Chlamydomonas reinhardtii: one gene and its partners. The protein of the gene in region 4 binds, or shares a complex with, the protein of the main gene of each other region. Links are inferred from orthologs where the notes say so. Each region holds a gene or a part of one and is shown on either strand. Other genes may lie near its edges.

What was found.
Region 1: the proteins of CHLRE_12g535950v5 (region 4) and CHLRE_16g679500v5 are in contact, whole or in part, in a cryo-EM structure (PDB 8BED), measured with the Arabidopsis thaliana proteins. The link is inferred for Chlamydomonas reinhardtii from reciprocal best matches to the Arabidopsis thaliana genes EMB1467 and AT5G47890. Residues at the interface, in NP_568550.1 of Arabidopsis thaliana: Lys397, Asn401, Arg402, Met403, Gly404, Asp406, Asp418, Ala419, Asp420, Leu421, Arg422, Tyr425, Leu563, Asp564, Gly566, Gln570, Arg679, Lys681, Ser682, Val683, Pro685, Asn686, His689, Glu692, Glu694, Pro695, Ala696, Ala697, Phe698, Ser701; in NP_199600.1 of Arabidopsis thaliana: Lys12, Glu13, Arg15, Leu17, Leu18, Gln20, Arg29, Val32, Glu33, Tyr36, Lys37, Lys40, Ser41, Lys45, Leu46, Pro47, Ile48, Leu49, Ile50, Arg51, Glu52, Cys53, Ser54, Val56, Trp61, Arg63, Met66, Gly67, Glu69.
Region 2: the proteins of CHLRE_12g535950v5 (region 4) and CHLRE_10g450400v5 are in contact, whole or in part, in a cryo-EM structure (PDB 8BED), measured with the Arabidopsis thaliana proteins. The link is inferred for Chlamydomonas reinhardtii from reciprocal best matches to the Arabidopsis thaliana genes EMB1467 and AT4G02580. Residues at the interface, in NP_568550.1 of Arabidopsis thaliana: Val203, Lys205, Val225, Ser229, Gln235, Asp236, Leu237, Gly238, Ile239, Leu240, Gly241, Arg242, Gly245, Glu246, Glu247, Gly249, Thr250, Tyr251, Val252, Glu253; in NP_567244.1 of Arabidopsis thaliana: Asn33, Tyr34, His35, Leu36, Val90, Met93, Ala103, Ile105, Arg106, Tyr108, Glu109, Thr112, Phe113, Tyr114, Ser115, Arg119.
Region 3: the proteins of CHLRE_12g535950v5 (region 4) and CHLRE_10g422600v5 are in contact, whole or in part, in a cryo-EM structure (PDB 7AQR), measured with the Arabidopsis thaliana proteins. The link is inferred for Chlamydomonas reinhardtii from reciprocal best matches to the Arabidopsis thaliana genes EMB1467 and CI51. Residues at the interface, in NP_568550.1 of Arabidopsis thaliana: Gly115, Asn116, Cys117, Arg118, Leu121, Lys129, Pro130, Ala135, Met136, Pro137, Lys153, Ala154, Glu156, Gly157, Val158, Glu160, Phe161, Leu162, Met164, Asn165, Arg194, Phe195, Glu197, Met198, Arg200, Ile219, Gln220, Ile239, Gly241, Arg242; in NP_196470.1 of Arabidopsis thaliana: Gly225, Ala226, Gln243, Lys245, Leu248, Pro250, His399, Glu400, Ser401, Cys402, Gly403, Gln404, Cys405, Thr406, Pro407, Arg409, Glu410, Gly411, Trp414, Met417, Ile418, Arg421, Met434, Glu437, Val438, Lys440, Gln441, Ile442, Gly444, His445.
Region 5: the proteins of CHLRE_12g535950v5 (region 4) and CHLRE_12g555250v5 are in contact, whole or in part, in a cryo-EM structure (PDB 8BED), measured with the Arabidopsis thaliana proteins. The link is inferred for Chlamydomonas reinhardtii from reciprocal best matches to the Arabidopsis thaliana genes EMB1467 and AT3G12260. Residues at the interface, in NP_568550.1 of Arabidopsis thaliana: Trp361, Arg362, Leu365, Ser621, Pro645, Thr646, Ala650, Arg651, Asp652, Trp654, Lys655, Ile656, Arg658, Ala659, Glu662, Val663, Asn671; in NP_566416.1 of Arabidopsis thaliana: Lys120, Thr121, Phe123, Leu124, Phe127, Tyr128, Thr129, Ser130, Asn131, Tyr132, Phe133.

What each region holds. Positions count from the first base shown.
Region 1 is NC_057019.1:5,636,777-5,641,073, reverse strand, and holds CHLRE_16g679500v5 (uncharacterized protein), read left to right. Parts: upstream 1-1,497; 5' UTR 1,498-1,601; coding exon 1,602-1,645; intron 1,646-1,733; coding exon 1,734-1,775; intron 1,776-1,845; coding exon 1,846-1,952; intron 1,953-2,165; coding exon 2,166-2,265; intron 2,266-2,945; coding exon 2,946-2,958; 3' UTR 2,959-4,013; downstream 4,014-4,297. Other genes in the region: CHLRE_16g679450v5 (uncharacterized protein), read right to left, coding at 350-475, 785-890, 1,028-1,081, 1,158-1,225; CHLRE_16g679550v5 (uncharacterized protein), read right to left, coding at 4,042-4,053, 4,196-4,297. UniProt on the Arabidopsis thaliana protein: Accessory subunit of the mitochondrial membrane respiratory chain NADH dehydrogenase (Complex I), that is believed not to be involved in catalysis. Complex I functions in the transfer of electrons from NADH to the respiratory chain.
Region 2 is NC_057013.1:4,251,229-4,255,431, reverse strand, and holds CHLRE_10g450400v5 (uncharacterized protein), read left to right. Parts: upstream 1-1,401; 5' UTR 1,402-1,479; coding exon 1,480-1,680; intron 1,681-1,788; coding exon 1,789-2,042; intron 2,043-2,449; coding exon 2,450-2,606; intron 2,607-2,912; coding exon 2,913-3,008; intron 3,009-3,196; coding exon 3,197-3,337; 3' UTR 3,338-3,956; downstream 3,957-4,203. UniProt on the Arabidopsis thaliana protein: Core subunit of the mitochondrial membrane respiratory chain NADH dehydrogenase (Complex I) that is believed to belong to the minimal assembly required for catalysis. Complex I functions in the transfer of electrons from NADH to the respiratory chain.
Region 3 is NC_057013.1:718,697-722,891, reverse strand, and holds the start of CHLRE_10g422600v5 (uncharacterized protein), read left to right. Parts: upstream 1-1,392; 5' UTR 1,393-1,508; coding exon 1,509-1,585; intron 1,586-1,860; coding exon 1,861-2,008; intron 2,009-2,350; coding exon 2,351-2,500; intron 2,501-2,795; coding exon 2,796-2,959; intron 2,960-3,224; coding exon 3,225-3,285; intron 3,286-3,802; coding exon 3,803-3,917; intron 3,918-4,195. Other genes in the region: CHLRE_10g422650v5 (uncharacterized protein), read right to left, coding at 207-435, 504-668. UniProt on the Arabidopsis thaliana protein: Core subunit of the mitochondrial membrane respiratory chain NADH dehydrogenase (Complex I) that is believed to belong to the minimal assembly required for catalysis. Complex I functions in the transfer of electrons from NADH to the respiratory chain.
Region 4 is NC_057015.1:6,125,586-6,129,528, forward strand, and holds the start of CHLRE_12g535950v5 (uncharacterized protein), read right to left. Parts: upstream 2,801-3,943; 5' UTR 2,412-2,800; coding exon 2,170-2,411; intron 2,087-2,169; coding exon 2,029-2,086; intron 1,934-2,028; coding exon 1,814-1,933; intron 1,099-1,813; coding exon 920-1,098; intron 416-919; coding exon 220-415; intron 1-219. Other genes in the region: CHLRE_12g536000v5 (uncharacterized protein), read right to left, coding at 3,605-3,943.
Region 5 is NC_057015.1:7,575,550-7,579,638, forward strand, and holds CHLRE_12g555250v5 (uncharacterized protein), read right to left. Parts: upstream 2,802-4,089; 5' UTR 2,641-2,801; coding exon 2,551-2,640; intron 2,413-2,550; coding exon 2,290-2,412; intron 2,100-2,289; coding exon 2,058-2,099; intron 1,906-2,057; coding exon 1,870-1,905; intron 1,567-1,869; coding exon 1,441-1,566; 3' UTR 246-1,440; downstream 1-245. Other genes in the region: CHLRE_12g555300v5 (uncharacterized protein), read left to right, coding at 76-188; CHLRE_12g555200v5 (uncharacterized protein), read left to right, coding at 2,933-3,066, 3,187-3,236, 3,528-3,618, 3,726-3,785, 3,929-4,037. UniProt on the Arabidopsis thaliana protein: Accessory subunit of the mitochondrial membrane respiratory chain NADH dehydrogenase (Complex I), that is believed to be not involved in catalysis. Complex I functions in the transfer of electrons from NADH to the respiratory chain.

The DNA of each region.
Region 1 (4,297 bases), on a different chromosome or scaffold from region 4:
CAGAGCTCCACCCTGTCTGGCTGCAGTGATACACCACCTGCTGACAGAGACACGCCGCCTGCCGCCTGTCCCTCACGTCCCCACCCATCCCCGCCCGTCCTCGCACCGCCGCACCACGACACAAACCAGACTCTGCCAGCCGCCCCCTCCAGCTCTCCAGCTCCCCGGCGCGTTCAGCTGCCTTGCAAACATGACGTGCTAACCCGCGCGCCCCACAACCCCGCGGCTCTCTGCCCCCCACACACACACACTCCGTTCATTGCGCTTGGAGTTAACGGACCCCTACCGCCCCTCCACCACCCACTTCCACCACCACGCCCTCCCCCCAGCGCTCCCATCCGCCTCTCACCTTGGCCACCTTGAGCGCCACGCGGTACTTCTGGCCCAGCTTCTCCAGCTCCGCCAGCACGCAGTCGGTGATGCAGGGCTTGCACTCGGCGTACAGGCAGTCCACCATGCCGCGGACCAGGTCGATCTGGGTCAGGGGAGGGAGGGAGTGGGGGAGGCGGAGTTTGCGATGTGGGTTGGGAGGGAGGCGGCAGCAGAATGGCTACGGTATATGTGAAGTATGCTGTGCCGCGCTGTGCGGGTTGCTGCAGGTGGTGGCAAGAGGGACGAGACAGGCTGCTAGGTGCTGAGACGGCGCCCCAGCAATACTGCGACGTGTTTCCTTCGCCGCTGCCGCGACCGGCCCTCGCCCGGCCCCTGCCAACGCTTCAACCGGGCACGCAGACTAGCATAGTGCTCGCTAGACCCTTGGTGTTCTGCCCCAGCCCCAGCGCACCTTGTTCTTGATGGAGAAGTTGATAAAGTTGGTGTCCACCAGCACCTGATACGGCGGCCCCAGCTGCGTGTTGTAGCGGAAGAACAGCGCCGACGACACCTTCTCACTGCAGCACCACGTGGGCAGCAACAGGGAGGTGACAAGTCGGGAGCAGCATGATGTGTGAGAGCATGCCCAACGATTGACGCTCAGGGTTTTGGCTGTGGCCAGCGTGCTAGGGCAGAGCGCCGCTGCTGCACTCACACGTGGCGGACCTCGTCCTCCTTCTTCTCCGTCTTCTGACGCTTGGCCGGCGGTCTGCAATGAAGCGTGACGTCAGGCCGTGACGCTGGCTCAGCTGGGGACGGGGGGCCGCCGCGACTGCGCGACTTACTCTGCGTCCTTTGGGTTCAGCATCCGCTTCACCTCGGCAAATTTCCGGGTCTTCTTCATTTTCCCCATTCTTGTAAGCTTTTAGCGAGTAAGATGTAAGGTCTGAGCTTGGCAGAAACGCGAATTCGGCTCAGCGCGTCAGTTCTGTGGAGGCGGCAGGCGAAGGGTTGTGCTAAATGATTCACGGTGATGTGCAAGGCAGTCCTTTGAGTTATTGTTTGCTAATCATTTTTGACTTGGGGCTAGGCCAGCATAACAAAGAGCACAGACGGAAATGCTGCATGGGGCCGGTGGGGCGATTTGGTTTAGTGCTGCGGGTGCACCACCGGACGGAAGTGCACAAACTATAGAATAGCAAGATAAACGCTACCGAAGGGCCCAAGCGTGGGAGAAGGCTCTTGGCAGGGTTTTGCGTTGTTCGGCCCCTAGCGGCTTACTGAGCACCATGGCTTGGCGCAACTCTCTTTCCAAGAGCATGCAGGAGCTTAGGTGCGGCTATCTTAGCCCAGGACCAGCTCTGCGCTGATTGCGCCTTCTCGGAACTAGAAGACTGAGCCTGCGCGCTTTCTAATCGCAGGATTCACCTGTGCCAGACTTCGGCGGGGAGCAAGGGTGTTCGGTAAGTGAGCGGGAAGGCGTGCTCCGGTGAGCAAATGTCCTCACGCCGGATGCTGCACGCACTCGCGCAGGGACTTCATCGTTGCTAACTATGCGGAGATGAAGAAGGCGAACCCGCACTTCCCCATCCTCATCCGCGAGTGCGCGGGCACCGAGGCGTCGCTCACAGCGCGCTACGGTGAGCCCAGGGTTAGGGGGGAGTCGCTGTCTCGTGTCAGGGGGCTGGCGCGACCAACGCATCCATCAGCGGGACCTGGAGCAGGCCCCACCTGCTGCATACACGCCGCGAGGGGCGACCTCTAGCAACCTTGGCTTACGGCCGCACACGGTTTGCAACCCCACCTAACGTCCGCCTGCCCCCCTGCCCCCCGGCACACATACACATACGCAGACTTCGGCGCTGAGAAGTCGGTCAACGTACAGGGCGCCACGACGGGGGCGGTGCAGCAGCAGCTGGAGCAGCTCATCCTGGCGGGCCAGTCTATGCCCAAGTGGGTGGGGGCCTGCGGGCGCGGTGTGAAGTGGGGGGCGCGCGCAGTGTGAAGTGGGGTGGACCAGGCGGGGTCGGAGGGGAGCGGGAGGCGGCGGCAAGTCATGGGAGACGGAGGGGTGGGGTGGGGAACGGAAGAGGCGGGGCGGAACAGCACAGGAGAGGCGGGGTGCAGCTCGCTGCATAGGGCGCTGGGCGGTGGATCCGGTGATGGACGCAGCGCAGCGGCCTAGATGTGCTTGGGTAAGGATGGACCGCCGTCCATGAATCGTGCTCTGGGTGTTGTGTGACAGGGTGAGGGTTTTGCCGGCGCCTCCCTGTAAGCGCCTCCCTGGGTGGCGCGGGCAGAACCCTCAACCGACTGCACAACGCACAGAACGTGACGTAAGGCCGGCGGTCCGTCCTTGACGGGAGCCAGCAGCGCCCTGGGTGCAGGGAGCGTGGACGCGGGTCGCCTGGCCTGAGCTCAGGGGGTCGTCACGCGCGGAGCTATTGCTGGGGCGCATTCACGCGACCATTCGCGTGAACGCATTCAAGCAGCTCTTCCATGCTTTTACATGCCAGGTGGCGGCACGAGCACCAGCTACAGCTAATTGATCTCGTTGCGCTGTACTGCACGTGGCGACCGTCCCTAATCTGCGGTGTGGCGCCTTGCTGTGCTCATGTCGCGCTGCGATGCAGGTCCGGCGAGTAAGCGCGCAGTGGCGAAGATCTTGGGCGACAGGCCGCCTTCAGGGCCCAGCTTTAAGTGCGGCAGGGTGCTGCGTGGAATGCTGGGCCATCGACGGCCGATCCCTTTGACACGCGCCGCTGCCAGTTGTGGCCGGCAGTGATGTATCAGCAGCTGAATGTGGAGCGATGCAAAATATCCGGCGCGCTACGTGCCGTGGCTTATCACGTGAAAGGGCAGATGGAGCTTGCAAGTTGCAAGGCGAGGCGGGCTGTTACAGATTTGAGTCTGGCTTCCGAGGTTCGAGTGTACGCCACTTTGGAATTTAGCACCACCTTTGCGGGTTAACCTTTCGATGAGTGGTCCGTAGTACTTAAGCAAATAGGTATAATAGCAACCCCAAGTCCCCGAGGGCTCGGGCTGGGCCAACGGCGCATGTGTGCAGGCGTGTCCGGCCGGGCGGTGTAGAGCGTGCATGCTATTCTTATTCAAAACGACGGCACGATGCGTTGTGCTAACAAAATGTAAACGTGCACGGTACCTACACGAGCCTCACTTATCTACAGCACAGACAAGCACGCACCACAGAAACAAAAACACAGACATGCCCGCATGGCCCTGCTACCAAGGTGTGTCACGTCTCCAGCAGTCCCAACAAACATAACCATGCTCCCGCCAACGCCTCACGTCAACATTACGTCAACAAATGCACACCCAGTTAACTCAAATGCCCCTGTCAACACTTAGCAACATGTACGGCAGCCTCCCGGCTTGTTGTGCGCTGACCACCCAGCCTCCTCCTGCGCCGCTGCTCACTGGCTGGGGTCGTTCACGGTGCCCACGAACGCGGGCAGGCCGGTGGGGGTGTGCATGATGATGAAGGCGAAGGGGCGGTTGAAAATGAACTCGGGCGTGGGCATCGGCAGCGCACAGCGCAGCATCATGACGGCGGTGGCGGCGGCCGCCACCGTGCCCTCCTCGTCCACCTCCACCACGGCCTGCGCAGCAGCAACAGGCAAAGGCAACGTTCGTTTGGCACAGGGGACGTTCGTTCGGTGGTTGACGAGTCCGTGCCAGGAGAGGAGCGCCAGGGAAGATGCAGGCAGGCTACCCTTCAATCTGGTGACCAGAGAGAGGGCTGAAGGACCATGGGCTCGCCCAGGGCCCCATGCTGCATCGGCTGCCCCCCGCCCGCACACACTCTATCGCCATCCTGGCACCATGCATACCGTACCATCGATGCATCCATGCGCGCCCTTACCTTGTGAACGACGTCGCTGACAAACATCTTGGTGTCGCTGAGGCGGCTGAAGTCGGCGCTACCTCCGAATGCCTGCTTGACGCCGAGCTTGTGCAGCACGGT
Region 2 (4,203 bases), on a different chromosome or scaffold from region 4:
GTGTCGCTGAAAGAAACAATCATGTTTACCGTATGCCATTTAAATTGAGCAGCAGGTGCCGCATAAATGGCGGCACAGCTGTAGCCTGGGCTACATGACTGTGTGCGTGGCACTGGTGCACCAAGCGCATCCTGCTTTTAGAGGGCAGCACGACTCGGCAAACGTGTAACATAAACCGTTGATTCACGCGTGTACTTGCGCTTTGGAAGTCTTGCGCATCTTTGAACGTGTGTGTATGTGTGTGGGGTGGGGGGTGGGGGGGCTCGGGTTTTGGTTGGCAGTGGGTGCAGGGGGGGATAATCTGTTGGCAGCCGCTGCACTGGCTGCAGTGTTGGCAGGGGAAGCACTTCTTAAGCATGAGGTGGCAAGGGAACATGGGCAGGGGGCTTCGTGACGTCGGGCAGAGTGAAGGACATACGCAGCAGTGAAAGCTGAGCCAGGAGTGTCCACTGTACACGTTGCATCGAACGTGTAGGGGGGGGATTGAGTTTGCTAACACCTGCGCGATCGAGAGTTGCGCAAGCAAACCTTGGCCTTGGACCGTGTGCTGGACAGGACACTGCACGCAACCACCTTCGCAATACAGGAAAAGGTAATAGTCACGATGAGCTCTGACAGTGGCGCGGGTCTTCCGCACGACCTGACACGACCCGGCCGACGAGCGTTTGCTGGTCGTGCGTGAGCAAATACCTCTTAGTCCTGCCTTTTACCTTGTGACAATACGACACAATGTCTCAAGGGGTGATAGCGCCAGCGGCAGCGCCCCGTCGACGAGCGCTGACGAGCGCTGCTGGCGCACAGGTCAGCTGTCAGTATTCACTGTCACCGCGCGCCTCCGCGCGTGAATCAAGACTTGCGCTTGCAGCGGGTTGATTGTTGAGCAAGCGGGTTGAGTGACCGACCGCACATGCGTGCGTTATCCACGCTGAACTGCCACGGAACCCTCGCGGCCTGTCCCTGCCTGCAAGGGCGCGTTCTTACTTCTTACCCTTATCACGCCTATCGCCTCACGTCAGAGGGCGGATCCGCGCACTAGAGGAGCAAACAGGGCGCCCGACGCAGCTCCTCTATGCTGCGATGCAGGGCGCCTTGTTTGCTCCTCCAGGGCGCGGATCCGCCCCCCGGACCTCCCCGCACACGGCCCTTGCCGGCCTTCGCAGCTTCGCCTGCTCATCGCACGCTGCACGCCGACACATGTCGCTCCTGTCTTGGTGCCGATATCATGCTTTTCGAACTCTTCACCATTGTGGCAATGCACTGCCCCGCTGTCGTCAATAGCGGGGAAGGGGGAGGGTGAGAAGCGGCTGGCCGTGGCCGCGCGGGTACGGCGTGCCGATTCCGGCGACCGGTCGTGCCACGATGCCACTTTGCCGCCAGGTCGCACAGGTGTGTTAACGTAGTCTAGGTGCATAGGGGCTTGCAAGAGCTTGACTAGTGCCGGCCAAGGCGACTCAGGAGAGGCACCAATTTCGCGACAAAATGCTGTCTAGGGCCCTGCTCCTCGCAGGGCGCCTCGCCGCGACTGGCCAGCAGCAGGCAGCTAGCACCTCGTCTCGCGCTGTCCAGCCGCTAGGCTCGCTGCTGCAGCGGTGCAACTTTGCCACCAACTCGACCGATATCTTCAACATTCACAAGGACACGCCAGAGAACAATGCTGCGACCAGCTTTGAGTTTAGCGAGGCAAGCGAAAGAGAGGCGTGGAAGGGCTGTCAGGCACACACAGAAGGAAACGCGTGCATCAGCCCAACACTCTCTACCTGCTTGACCTGGTGCGCACCGTGCATGCAGGCTACTCTGAAAGTTGTCAACGATATCATCGCGCGGTACCCGCCGAACTACAAGCAGAGCGCCATCATTCCGGTGCTGGACGTCACGCAGCAGGAGAACGGCGGGTGGCTGAGCCTCGCGGCCATGAACCGTGTGGCTAAGCTGCTGGACATGGCGCCCATCCGCGTGTATGAAGTGGCCACCTTCTACACCATGTTCAACCGCACGAAAATTGGCAAGTACCACGTGCAGATTTGCGGCACCACTCCTTGCAGGTAAGCAAAGGGTGTCGCCTCCCAGTGGAGGGGCTGCTGGGTTAGCCGGGCACAGCGGCGGCGGTGCAGGGCCACGTCGAGGAAGGTGAAGGGGGAGGAGGGAAGGCGGGCGTGGAGGGAGACAGAGCACGGGGACTGGGTTCGTCCGGCACGCGGGGCGTGCGGTGTCGCCTACGAACAGCGGGGTCTGCAGCGCCATCCACAGGCGTGCCGGAGCGCTGGCATGCCGGGGCCCCAACCATATTCGGCCTTCACGGCTGGACTCCGGACGCCCGTGCCAGTGGGCCCTTGCCCAGCCCCCGCGACTGCATACGCACATGCGCATCGCGTCGCCCAACCCCACTCACCCGGAACCTGGGCTTCCCTCCATCTGCGCCTCTCATTCTTAAACACACACACGTACACAGGCTGCAGGGCTCCCAGAAGATTGAGGAGGCCATCACCAAGCACCTCGGCATCGGCATCGGCCAGACCACGCAGGACGGGCTGTTCACACTGGGCGAGATGGAGTGCATGGGCGCTTGCGTGAACGCGCCCATGGTGGCCATCGCCGACTACACCAAGGTGCGGAGGAGCGTTGGAGCGCGTGGGAGTGCGGGGTGTTGGGTGTGCGGGATAGCGAGGGGTAGCGACGCTAGGGGCTGAGGTTGCAGCGCAGTACGGTATGTGCTCGTTTAGGTTTATGGAGTAGTGTACGTCGCGCGTGGGAGCGGCTGGGCGCGTGCTATAGCCAGGATTTGTCGGCTGGCCGTCATTGCACAACCGGCCTGCCCCGCCCATTCAGTGCGCGAGTCTTATCGTAAACCGCTGCTGCCAACGCGCCCCTTGTGTGCTTGCATCTAAACTACCACTGCTGCCGCACGGCTGCAGGGTGTGTCGGGCTTTGAGTACATCTACTACGAGGACCTGACGCCCAAGGACATTGTCAACATCCTGGACACCATCAAGAAGGGAGGCAAGCCCAAGGTGCGCGGGCGGGGGAGATGAGGGGCCGCAACCGGGCATGAGCGCGGGGCGCCCGCACAGGTCTGCGGTGCGTGCACTGTGGGGATGGAGGCTCGCGACACGGGTCGCATTGCGGCCGGGTGCATTGCCCTGCACACCCGCAACCCTCCAACGACCGCTTCGCTGCCCCTTTTCCTGCCTCATCGCAGCCTGGGTCTCAGTACCGCTTGAAGGCGGAGCCCGCCGGCGCCGTGCACGGCGGCGAGAAGTGGGTGCCCAAGGACGGCGAGACCACGCTGACGGGGGCACCCCGCGCGCCCTACTGCCGTGACCTGAACGCCACCGCGTAATCGGCCGTGCTCGTGGCGGTGGAAGATATGGCAAGCGTGCGGGCGTGCTGTGGGATGCAGCGTGTCTGGAGCGGCGGAGGGCGGGCCAAAATGGTCCATGGTGTGGGTGTGGAGGTCGTGGTGGCGGTATGCGACGGCAGCTCTTACGGATGGCAGGGTGCGCTGGGCGCTCAGGTGCCACATTGGCGGAGTGCCGCAGGAGGTGTGGCTCTTGCAGAAGGGCAGTGGCTTATGTCTGACTAGAATTTAGCTTAGAATGGACTTGAGGGGTATGTGTGAGGAGCTTTTACGTATGTGTGGGGCTTTATGTGGATACGTGCGTGGACGCAAGCAGGAAGAACATGTGACTAGCTTTGTACGGGCATGCCGGCGCAGGGTTGCCGCCTTGCAGGAAAAGCTTCGACTTTGTACGGGCATGGCGGCGCAGGGCTGACGCCTTGCAGAAAAAGCTTCGACTTGAATGGAGGCCACACGATTTCCTTTCCGCTCTGGTCTACGTACGCATTAGTTCCGCAACGCACGTCGACAACGATTGCCTTGGAACGCCAGCGAGGCTGGGCGAGCACGGTGGTGCGCGTCTGGGCCTGCAGCATTCCCATATGCAGCTTGGGTCATATCATAGTCTTGTTCGTGTGCGCCGGTCGGGTCAGGGGTAAATCCAAGCGGCATCTTGCGCCACGGCGCCAAGGGGGGAGGGGGGGACTGCACGATCGTGCAGGCCTCGGCTGGAAGACTCCATGCACACCCAGACTGGCGTTGCTATCATACCATAGCTTAGCTACTTGGCTCTATCAAGTTTTACGTTGTTGACACTCGGCAATACCAGCCTCGAAGCCATTTGAACCTCTGCAGAACTTGACTGACCG
Region 3 (4,195 bases), on a different chromosome or scaffold from region 4:
GGGCAAACGGAACACAGGGAGCATGTCTGGTCGGTGTCATGGGCCGGCTCAGCAAGGCGCTAGATTGGTGTTGCGGGGCAGGCCAGCACGCGCTGGCGACCCATGGCTGCTACACCCTCTGGCCACGAGGGCAACGACCAGGACACCTCACAAACACAGGCATCCCAAAAGCCGCGCGCGCACACGCGCGCCGCCACGCCACGCACCCTCGGCCGGGAAGCTGCCGCCTGCTGCTCCTCCCGCCCCCAGCGCCACGTCCAAGAGCTCGTGTGACACCGCCTCCCACTGCCGACCTAGTGCCGTGGCTGCCGCGGCTGCCGACGTGGGTTCCAAGGCACAGCTACTCGTGCCTCCAGCGCCTCCGGCGCCGCCTGTGCCCCGTCCCGCCAGGATTAGCAGCACGGTGTCGTGCAGGGCGCGCCACATGGGGGCCGCCTGGGCAGGAGAGCAAGGGCAGGCAAGTTGCAGGATGGCGGATGCAAAGCCAGATACGAAGTACGTACCACAGGGCCATCGAACTTAGCCTGGCGGACAGTCTCCGGCTCCAGCACGGCCACTCCATACTGTCGCAAGACTTTACAGAGGCTGGTAATAGCCAAGCGCGCTGAATTGGGCGGCCCGAGCTGCTGCTGCTGCTGCTGCTGCGGAGCGCTTCGTGCCGAAGCCATGTCGCCGCAGATAACCCGTGTATTCTTGCGTGTTGAAACGTCAATGCTGGCGCACGTCCTGAACTACATTATGAAATGTTGTAGGACCACTGAAATGCCGTGACGGCCAAGCTGTCGCTGACCTTCAGTTGTGCAGGAGTTGGTGCAGGACGCTTCTCCTGTTAATCATTTTGATATTGCATGAAATAGCTTTTTTGTGGAATTCTATGCAGTTTGCAGTGATTGCACGCAGGCAGGGTTTTGGCCAACCTCGATGATGGAGAAAGGTATAGCGAACCCCGCGCACCCTATGGTAAACGAACACGCACCTTATATCAAGGAACGGAAGGGGCTACACTCTGGCGGAGGCACAGTTGACGCTAGGGTGCTCTGCAGACATCGGGGCGTGCCAGGGCGTGCCAGGACGGGTTCTGACTCCCCCTGCCGACTAGCTTGCACGCCCGAGCTGTGCCCCACCCCTCCTCGACCCCTAGCAAGCATTATGCCTCAGCCCACCACAGAACAGCAAGGTCACCCCGTGGAGAGGCCGGAGGAGGGGCCACGTCTATCAAGTGAGTTGCCGACCCGATTGCAACATGCCCTCAGTTATCTAAGCTGGTGTAAAATATCGAAGGATTTCTCCCACGTTGCGGCTCGCTAGAGCTACTGAGTGCAATTGAGGGGATGCATGAGGGCGAGTTACTCGATCGCACAGTGCACTCCTTTGTAACTACTCAACTGGCTACATTTACTTAGGCAGAGAGCGTAAATACTTGGGGCGCCTGTAAGAGGCGAGAGTTTGCTTTCCGCAGGCCCATAATCAAAGGCCGCATACTTCTTTTGAGCAGCTAGCCTGCCACCATGCAGCGCACCGGTGGTCTGGTTAGCCAGCTTGCGGGAGCGCAGCTGACTGGCGCGCTGCAGGAGCTGAAGACTGGGTAAGGGATACGCTCGGGAGGGCAGCACCCGAGTCCGGTTGCTCTTAAGGAGGCCAGCTACACACCCTGTTTCAGCAATCTTTTAGCATGTTTGCGAGGATAGTATTTAGGCACGCGAGTAGCTTGCCGGAACGCCGTGTGGCGCGAGACCCGGCCACGTTGCTGCTCCAGGGCTCGCTCTCGTCGTAGCAACTTTGCGCATGCGCGACAATAAAAATATGGACTAGTATGGGCTGGACGACTTGCATTGACGGCGCTCTGGCTGGTGCATGCAGGGTGCTTCTGGCCTTCAGCACTGCCGCTCCCGCGGCTGGTGCTCCCCCTCCGCCTCCTCCGCCTCCTGCTAAGACCAGCTTTGGTGGTCTGAAGGATGAGGACCGCATTTTCCAGAACATTTACGGTCGCCATGACCTCAGCATCAAGGTGCGAGGCGTGCCAGCATCCGTCGCTGGTCGCGGGATCCTTCAGTGGGCTCCGCGCAGTCTAGTCAGTGCTGGGGAGGCTGCTATGGAGCTCAGGCGCGGGCACAGAGGGGCCGCTGGCTGGCGCAGGGCTGGCCGTGCCACGTTGCGGGGGGGGGGGGGTCGGGCGTGGCAGGCCAGGTGTCAGGACGCAGCGGTGGACGTGTGTGTCCGTTCGAGACACGTGCTGGGGTGTTGGAGATGTCGCCCAGCCCAAAGCATACGCTAAGATGTGTAGCTGGATTAGACACTGGGAGAGCTGACGCCTGACGATGAGCGGGGCTGATTTTCTCAATACCCTCAGGGCGCCATGTCCCGTGGCGACTGGTACATGACCAAGGAGATCATCGGGAAGGGCCGGGACTGGATCATCGACCAAATGAAGAAGTCGGGACTGCGCGGCCGCGGCGGCGCCGGCTTCCCCTCCGGCCTCAAGTGGAGCTTCATGCCCAAGGTGTGTGTTCACGGGCAGGGATGGGCCAGGATTGGGGTGTGTGGGTGGCCGTGTTGGGATGGGGGCCAAGATGGGTGTCTGGGGCTGGTGGCGTGGTCACGGTGGGGTGCTGGCTGAGGGGGGTTTGTCCATTCCAGTCACATGTGGACGGGGCGGGAGCGTGGAAAGGTGGGGTGCTACGGCATGCTGCGGTGAATGGGGACATGCCCCCGTCTGCTGCCTGCGTCTCGCCCACGCCCGCCCGGGCCTGCCCCAACCCCCCCCCCCCAACCCGGCCTCCACCTCACCGCCCCAGGCCTCTGACGGCCGCCCCAGCTACCTGGTGGTGAACGGCGACGAGTCGGAGCCGGGCACGTGCAAAGACCGCGAGATCATGCGCCACGAGCCGCACAAGCTGGTGGAGGGCTGCCTCATGGCGGGAGTGGCCATGGGCGCGCGCGCAGGCTACATCTACATCCGGTGGGTTGGGTTTGGGGTGGGAGGGGACGCGCAGGGGCAGGGGCTGGGGAAGGGGAGGGGGCGGTGTGGCGCGGGTGTGGAGGACGCGGCTGGGCTGGGAGCGTGGGATGGGATGGGAAGGGGTGTAGGGATGGACGGGGGCAGGCAGAGCGGGATGGAGCACTTTTGCTGTGGATGGCATAATTGTTTCGATAGCTTGATAGCTGCACGTACTGACATCATCGTCACATCCCACTCATATGGCTTTCATTGTTGATGTCTGCAGTGGCGAGTTCGTGCAAGAGCGCCGCGCTGTGGAGCGCGCCATTAGCGAGGCGTACGCCAAGGTGCGCTGCAGGAGGTGGACTGGCTGGGTGGGGTGCTGCAGGAGGCGGACTGGCTGGGCGGGGTGCTGAAGGAGGCGGACTGGCTGGGTGGGGTGCTGAAGGAGGCGGCAGGGGTGTATGCACAGGGAGCAGGGGCAACGTGAAGGGGGGGGGGTGGCAGGGATGTCAGCTGGGTGCGGCCGGGGCGGCAGCACGGCGGGCCGATGCGGATGAGGACGGGCGCGAGGAGGAGCGGAAAGCATTTAAGCCGATGGCAGTTTATGCGGCCGGAGGCTCCTGCCTAGGATGGAAACGCAGGCTACAGTTTCAAGCGGGGCGCAAGCTCCGGGGGAGGGGCACGAGTAGCTGGAGTGCCTCGGCAAGCTGCAAACGGGCACTTGAACTCGGTCTGACGCTACGGCGTATATCTGGGGCATGTCCGCACCTGCTGACCCCGCCCCTGACTCCCTCCTCCCTCGTTGGGCTCGGGCATGTAACCCGCCTGTTCCTCGCGCTGCTCCTGCTCACCTCTCCTCAGGGCTTCCTGGGCAAGAACGCGTGCGGCAGCGGTGTGGACTTTGACCTGATGGTGCACTACGGCGCCGGCGCCTACATCTGCGGCGAGGAGACGGCGCTGATCGAGTCGCTGGAGGGTGAGGAGCAGCAGGGGGTGGAGACGCGATGGACGGGGAGGGTGGGGTGGGGTGGCGCTGGGGAAAGGGAGGGCCGGGCCCGGGGCGCAAACTGGGTGCAGGTTGTTTCACGCGGCGGGAAATTAGGGCCTTGGCGGGAGGTGGGGAGCTGACCGGCGAAGCATGGGGCAGGACGTGCGCGAGCGTTATTGATCTGCCGCAGGCTCGGTTGTGGTGGCTGTGGCTGTACTGTTTGTCAACCGCTATGTGTCTGTGTGGTGCACTCCGCCGCCGCCGCC
Region 4 (3,943 bases):
CCAGCATCACGCACTCCACCTCTACCTTCACCTGTGCCTCCCTCCGCTCCCTTTACCTCGCCCTCTCCACGCCCTTCCTTCGCGCCTGTCCAAACCACGCTCCTCCCCCCACCCTCGTATCGTGCGCCCCTCCCCCCCTCGCCCCCCCTTGCTTTCTTTGGGACTTGGATTCACCTATCCCGCTCCCCTGCCCCTCGCCCTCCCCAAGCACCCACCCACCTTGAGCTCCCAGCTGCGCGCCGTGAAGGCGTAAGGCTTGGAGGTGAGCGCGCCCACGGGGCACAGGTCCACCACGTTGCCGCTCAGCTCCGAGCCCATCAGCTTCTCCACGTACGTGCCGATCTCGCTGTCGCGGCCGCGCCCCGTCACGCCCAGCTCCGCCGTGCCCGCCACCTCGCTGGCGAAGCGCACGCAGCTGCACGCATCGGGGTTGCCGGACAAGGAAAGGGGCGGTTGGGGAATGGCGAAAGGTGGGCAGCAGAGGTACTTCCAGTCGGGACTTCGTCCCAGCCCTGGATCCCGCCCTGCGCTTTTAAATGCTTTTGCGGCGGCACATGCTGCTACTCCAAGCTGCCTCCCACGCTTTGCCTAGTGAGCGCCAGTGCATGGTCTTTGTAGACCGCGAACGCAGGGGTGCACGCATCGCAAGGTCAGGGCGCCGGGACCGTTTGTAACCATGTCGCTGATGCCCCATCCCTCCTTCCCCCTCCCCCGCTGCTGCTGCCCAACCCTTTCCCCTCATTGCTCATCCAGCCGCTGCCTGCGTTTCCACTTTCCTACCCTTGCCTCCCTTCCCCATCCCCGTTGCCCCCACTGCTCATCAACCCCCTCCATCGCCCCCCAAACTCTTTGCCTTGTGCCTCCCCCGTGTCCCTCCCCCGTGTGCCTCCTCCCCCCTGTGCCGCCCCCGCCGCCCTACCGCGTGCAGTGGATGCAGCGGTTCATGACCGTCTTGACCAGCGGGCCCAGGTTCTTGTCCTCCACCGCGCGCTTGGCCTCCACGAAGCGCGAGCGGTCGCTGCCGAAGATCATGGCCTGGTCCTGCAGGTCGCACTCGCCGCCCTGGTCGCAGATGGGGCAGTCCAGCGGGTGGTTGATCTGCACGGCAAAGGGCGGGGCGGGGGCGGGTGTGGCTGAGAGCGTGGGCAGTGGCGGGGGGACTACGGGGTGGGTACGGCACAGGATTGCGGCTTCGAGGGTGAGGCAAATTCCAGCTGCACGCGAACGGGCTGAGCTGGAGCTGACCGGAGAGGCCGGGCAAGCTGCCGCCGGAGTTGGCCAACGTAATTCCGCCAATGCCACCCTGAAGTCACGGGTTGCATTACCCCGCATGGCGCCAACCCTTCCGGCTCTGGCCCGACCCCCGCTGTCAGCTGGCTGGGGCAGTCCGCTACGAGTCCACCGCCAGTGTTGGGGGCCTCAAGTCCGAGCGATGACGGCAGCGGTGCAGCCCAGCCCCTGCCATTTGTGCAGCGTGTGCTGCGTGCTGGCTTGCCCCGGGCCTGCGCCACGGTAGTGGCCTGCTCTTGCGCCTCCCTACGGCTCCTGGCAACGTTGCCGTGCCAGGCTGGGGCTGCAGCCCATGCCACCCTGCTGCTTCGCCGGATACCAGCCGGCCCAGAGCTCCATGCGCCTCTCTTCAAGCCCGAGCAGTCTCCACAGCAATATGCTCGGCCGCGCCAGCGCCAGTCCCGTCCGCCTCCGGCGAGCCGCTCCAACCTGACCTGATGGGTCCGGGGCCAACACCCTCCACCCCCAGGCTGCACTCTCTCCACGCTGCCCCTGCCTGCATGCCTCGCCGCGCACCACCCACCAGCAGAAACTCCATCACGCCCTCGCGCGCCTTCTTCACCATCGGCGTCTCCGTCTTAATCTTCATGCCCGGGCCCGCGGGCATCGCGCAGGATGCCACGGGCTTGGGGACCTTCTCAACCTGTGCACGCAGCCACCAACCCCCATGCAATCGGGTCAGCGGCCTGCTCTATACTTTAAGCCCAATTTGCGGCATCAAGCACTCCAGGTACGCACCTCCACGAGGCACATCCGGCAGTTGCCCGCAATCGAGAGGCGCTGGTGGTAGCAGAAGCTGAAAAGGGGGCCAGAGATGTATTAGGTGTGCACAGAAAATCATTTGGCATTTCTGCACTGCCCCTGCGCTCTGCACCCTACCGTGGAATGTCGATACCGGCCGCATCGCACGCCTGCAGCACCGAAGAGCCCTTCGGTATCTTAACAGGCTGCTCGTTGACAAAAACCTCCAGGTGGTCCGAAGGCGGAGGCGGGGGAGGCGGGGGCGGGGGAGGCCCCGACAGAGCGCCCACGCTAGTGCTGATGCTGCGTGCAAACTCCTGCGCGCCTGGCCATAGCCCTGTTAGGGGCTGGGCCAGCGTCAAGGCCCTCCGAGCGGACATGTCTGGGCTTGAGTAAAGAAGAAAGCGAGCTCAGACTGAACAAAAGAAATAGCGCAAGGCGCGGCTTTGCGCCACCCTGTAATGCCTAGCTCTTCGCGTCAACGTAATCAAAGCAACAGGACATGTGGAAGCATTCGAGCTTGCAGAGTCGCGACTCCCTCGTGCACGCATGCAATGGATGATTTTGTATCGCCCTCGTCGCCCGTTCCCCGTTTTGCCTGCCAAATGCCTATTGTTGCTACAAATTTCTTCACTTAGTCAGCGAGCAAGCGAAATTGCCGGGGTCGCGTTGTGCCACGGCTGCTGACACGTTGCCAACCCTGTTTACCCCCGCGCAAAGGGCGCGGATCCCCGAAGCCGCTTGCTCATGTCCTGCCCCTGTAGCCTGACGTAGCGGCGGTAGCGCCATGGAGTGCTAGCATCCGGCCTTGGAGAGCTCATTGGTCACGTGGACCTTACACGTGCTTGCCGTCAAAGAGCTGCACATCTTCTTGCCGTGTACCGCCTGAAGGCATACCGGCTCTTCCTCGCTTCGAGTCCCTGCTGCCCAAAGCCCTGACGTTCTGCCAGGGCCCCTGTGCGATAATGTTAAGAAGGTTGGGCTCAAGCACAGTGTCATCCAACACCCATTGCAGGTCGATGCTTGGGCTGGGTGCAATTTGTTTCTTGGGACTCTGCTATATCAGCCACTTTGCCCTGTCCCATTGCAACCACTGCACGTTGGACTACGCCAACCTGCCCCTTGCCATGTCCCATCGCACCCTTATCGCACCCGTTGCATACCACGCCTGCTTGTAACACCGTCACCTAGGACATGCAGCGCAAACCTCACGGCCCATCGTCACCTAGCTTGCAGCTAGGATGCGCTCGTTCCCTAGGATGCCTGGCACTCACGGTCCCCTGTGCTCCTAATATCTTACCACCTGGCTATGCAGTTCCGTGCAGGGCAGGTTCCCCCAGGTTTCGTGCATCTGCATCCCTCACCCACTCCTAACTCCTTCACATGCACTTGGTAGTCCGGGCACCGTCCTAATACGATAATCACTGGCCCTTTGGCGGCGCCACGGCGAGTCGCACACATGTCATCACAATAAGGTAAAACAAACGTCAACGCGTCCGTAGCCTGCCCCTGAACCCTCCACCGCACACAGCACCTGGCTCTGTACCGTGTATGCAGGTAAGCCCGATTGGACTTAACGCTGCAGAGCGTCTGTGTATGTCGCCAAGATCTCCCGCTCCTGCGGGTTCGCCGTGGCGGGCGGGGCCAGTGCAGGTGCGCCAGGGCTGGCAATCGCACCCGGCGCCGCCGCTGCCGTGGCCGCCAGGGCCGGGCTCGAGGCGCCGCCGTGGATGAGCGGCGGCAACTTATTCTTGGAGCGTGGGTTGGGCGCCAAGCCCACGGCCGGCGGTGGCGGCATGGGCACACTGCTGGCGGCAGGCGCATCGCTGTTGTTCGAGGGCATGGTATCCGCGCCAGTGAGCCCCACCGGCGGCGTGCCCATGGGCGGCAGCCGGCCGGGTGCGCGGCCGTT
Region 5 (4,089 bases), about 1.4 Mb from region 4:
GGGCAACGGCTACGCACAGGGCACATGGGCGGGTGCCGTCAGCTCGCCGCACTACCCTTACGGTGGCGGCTACAGCCACCAGCTGCCCGCCTCGTCGCCGGTGGGCATGGGCACCGGCATGCTGCTACAGCCGCCCGCATCGCCGCGGCCGCCCGTGGGATCCCTCATGGCGGGCGGGCCGCCGCTGACGCATATGCGCAGCGCCCCGCCTCAGCCGCCGTCAGCTCCTGCCCCTGCGGGGCAGCAGCCGCAGCCGCAGTGGCACTCCACGCCGTCGGTTCCGTCTGGCGGCACGCACGTGGGACTGACGCCAGGATACGGTCAGCCGGTTGCGGGCAGCAGCCACTGGCCGGCCTACCTGCAGGCGATGGCTTCACCGCAGCACTACACGACGGCGGGGCCGCCGGCGCGCTCCTCGCCGCAGCCCTGGTCACACCCGCCATCCGCGCAGCTGCAAGGGCAGACACTCGGCCACTGGGCGGCTGCGCCGCCAGCATCCTACTACCCTCCGGCTGGCTACAGTGGGGACCCGCAGTTTGCTGCCAGCCCGGCGCATCAGACGCAGCAGCTGCAGCCGCAGCAGCAGCAGCCACTGCGTGCAAGTCTGGGGTCGGTGAGCGCGCTTGGCACGATGTCGTTCTACGCCTACCCAAGCCACACAGCCGCGCCGCCGTCGCCGCACGCCCATGCAGCCATGGGGTACCACCCAGCGCCAGGCCCGTATCAGCAGCTGCAGTCAGTTGCTCCGCACCAGCAGTCACCGAGCGCATGGCCTGCTGTCGCTCCCACTCCGGTGACACCAGCTGATACATACGCTTACAACGTCAGCCCGCAGAGCCCCACCTCGCACAAGCACACGTCGGGGCAAGCGTTTGCGCCCGACCAGCGCATGCCATACGCGCAGCACCTGCTCTACGCGTACGCGCGCTAGGCATGCCTCAAGCCATTCTCGTTGCAAGTGTGAACACAGCTTAAACTAATGCATGGACGCTTGTCCATTCTTGTGATCAATGCTAGTATAAAAGCTTGCCGAAGTCATCCTGTAAGCTGCTTGCACGTGTCTCTACGCCTCTACATCCCTCAATTCCCTGCTCAGACAGCTTAGCAACGCAGCACTCTGCCGTTGCCCTGTCAACAGCTAACACAAGCCTATGCGTAATCCCTACTCATTATCTCGTCATCATAAGCCAGTGCCGGCCAGGCTTTGCCCGACCAGCTGTAAATCGTCCAGCACCACAGCCGTCACCAACCAGCCCTAGCTTCAGCCGGCGGCCACTACCACACGCCACTGCGCGCCTCCAAAATGGTGTGTTGTGGAAACCCTCCCCACATACCCTTCACAACATCCTCCAGCACCAGCCAGATAGCTCACTCCCGTCGCCGCCTCAATCTCAGAAGCCGCGCTGTACCGTGCGCCCTGTCCGCTGTCGCTGTTCTCGTTTATGAGTTGCGCACGCCAATGGCCGCGTAACCGGACGACAGGAAGCTGTCCAGGAAGGGGCTGTTCGTGGTCACCTTCTTCACCGCGCGCTGCTTGGCGTAATAGGGCTCCACCACCTCCGTCACCTGTTGTGTAGCGGCGGTGTGTTGTATAACTTGTATGATTAATAGGAAAGCGCAAGGAAAATGGGGCCGACACCGTGCGTGCGAAGTATTGTTTGCCAACAAGAATCGCACCCAATACACGTGTATGTCAGAGTGGAGTGGGAGTGTGGGGGTGGTGCACCAGCGGCGGCGCTCCCACGGCTCAGGCTGCGCTGCCACTGCCCGCAACGCCCTGCGGGAGTGAGCTGCGCTGCCCATCCACCTAGCAACTACACGCCTGGCACCAGCGCCAGTCCCCAGCCGCCAGGGCGGGGCCCCGCTCACCACGTGGTGCCGCTGCTTGTGCATGAGCAGGTAGGTCTGCGCCGGGGGCGGGGCAGGGGCGGCAGTAGGCGGCGGTCCGCGGTCAGCACCACGGCGCCAGTCAGCACGAGCTATATCGGCACGCCCGATGTAGGCCCAGCACCCTGGCCACAGGGTTGGCAGAGAAGCCCCGGCATCTTGGCTCTCACCTCAATCTCCTCGCGGCCCTTGAAGATGAGCAGGTCCACCACCTGCACGCATTCGGGCGACAGCAAAGCCCCGTTCAGCATCAGCCCCACCTGCTCAAGACCGCTGCCCCAGCCCCAGCCCCAGCCCGCTGCGCCTTTACCAGTTTACCCCCCCCCCCCGCTCCGTCCCACCCCCCCACTCCGCTGTCCTCCCGCGTTCGGTTGCTGTGCATGCAACATGGGCGCGACCCACCCGCCCGTCCTTGACGTCCTTGTACTCCTTGAACTTCTCCTTAACGATGGCACGCAGCTCCTTCAGCGACACCATCTCCTCCATTTTGTGCAGCCGCTGAATGAACGGCAAGCACCGGCAAATCTGCGACGCAACCGGCAGTGCTTGTTGACTGCACGTCCTCGCTAAGGGTCTGGGCATGCCACTCTGCGAGACTCGGCGTGACATCCCCACGCCAGCAGCAGCAGCCCCGGGCATGGCTCCCATGGCATCGCAGCCCACCTCAAAGTAGAAATGCCGAGCAGCACCCCCGAACAGGCGCTTGTCCTGGTGCGCGACCTCCACTGCCTTCTGAGCAAGTCGGGACGACATGGCTACAGCTTCTTGAGCAAGTATGACCTAATCGTATGACCTAACGTTAAGTCGCGACACTCCTCAGGGCGGACTCCCTGGGTTGGCCTGCCAGGCAAACTCTCAATCGGCAAGGCCTACAGTCACAGCACCCAAGTGGGGAGCTCCAGCAGTCTTTGCAGTATAAAATGACTAGATGTCCGAGCCCTGCGCAAGCCCCAGCGCAATGTCCACTGTGCATGGGAATGGGGGCCCCAACCTTTGTGTTTAGTTTTGTTTGCCCAGACTGGAAAATTTACTATGCGTACTTAGAATGGCACGATGGAATACTGACCCTAGCGGGGCCAATACGGTCGTTGCGCCTGTGGTGCGCACACCGAAAGCTGCTCGTAGCGTAGGCCTCGATGCGCTCCTTACAGTGATCTCGGTTGCTGCATTAAATTCAAGGTCAGCGAATGACTGTCATATACACGGCGCTCAAACTAGCTCAAAGGACGGGTTCCCGCCATGGTGGCTGTCTCCACGGGCTTTCTTTTAAACAGCTTGCCCATTTTCTTATGCGCACAGATCTACACTCGTATCGCTTCTGCCAGTGCCATGGCTGCGCCTGGTTTTCCGTGAGTCGGGGTGGAGTGGAGCCGGTCGACACAGGGGGGGCGTCTGCAGGGTGGAAGGGGGATAGCACAGTTAGCGCGGGCCAGAGCTACTGGGAAGCATGCTGCGCCGGTGGGGGTTGTGACGGGTGAAGCGCATTGCACGTTGGCAGCAATACGTGGGTGGGGCACCACAGCGGGAGGGACACGCTCTATGCGGGGCTCACGCTTAAGAAACGCAGGGGTGAGGTTGTGTGCGGTGTCGCTCAAGGTAGTTCCTGTTTGGGCCGACATGCCCTTTCACCTGGTGCACAGAGCTGTTGCTGTGGCTGCTGCCGCTGGTGTTCAGCGGGCGAGCCCTGGACACGCTGGTCCGCTGGCGCAACTCCCAGGCAGCCGTGAGAGTGTGAGTGGCAACGTCAAGAGAGCGGCGGGGGTTGGGGCCTGGTCCATGCTTCCACGCTCCTTGCTAACCACGTAGCTTGTCCTGTCTTGTGGCCATCATGCATGCAGTCAGGATAACGTGACCGGCAACAAGCGGAAGCTGTACGGGCTTGCGCCCCCGCCGGCCAAGTAAGTATTCTGCCGTGCTGACAGTGTTGTTGCCTGGCTTGTCGCCATGTACTGCTGCATGCGTGCATGGTGCCACGCGGTCCCACCCTCCGACCAGTTGCGCGTGCAAGCATTATGCTCTTGCCTCATCTTGTACCCTGTAGGGTGGAGCCGCTCCGGCAGCGGAGGCCGTTCTCCCTCACCCCAGCGCGCGAAGGCGGCGCAGCCGGGGCGGCACTGCAGCGGCAGCTCACGCCCATCACGCCGCCGCAGGTGGGTGTGACCTCAGTCCGCCATGTTGCGAGCGGTGTCGCACGCGCACGTG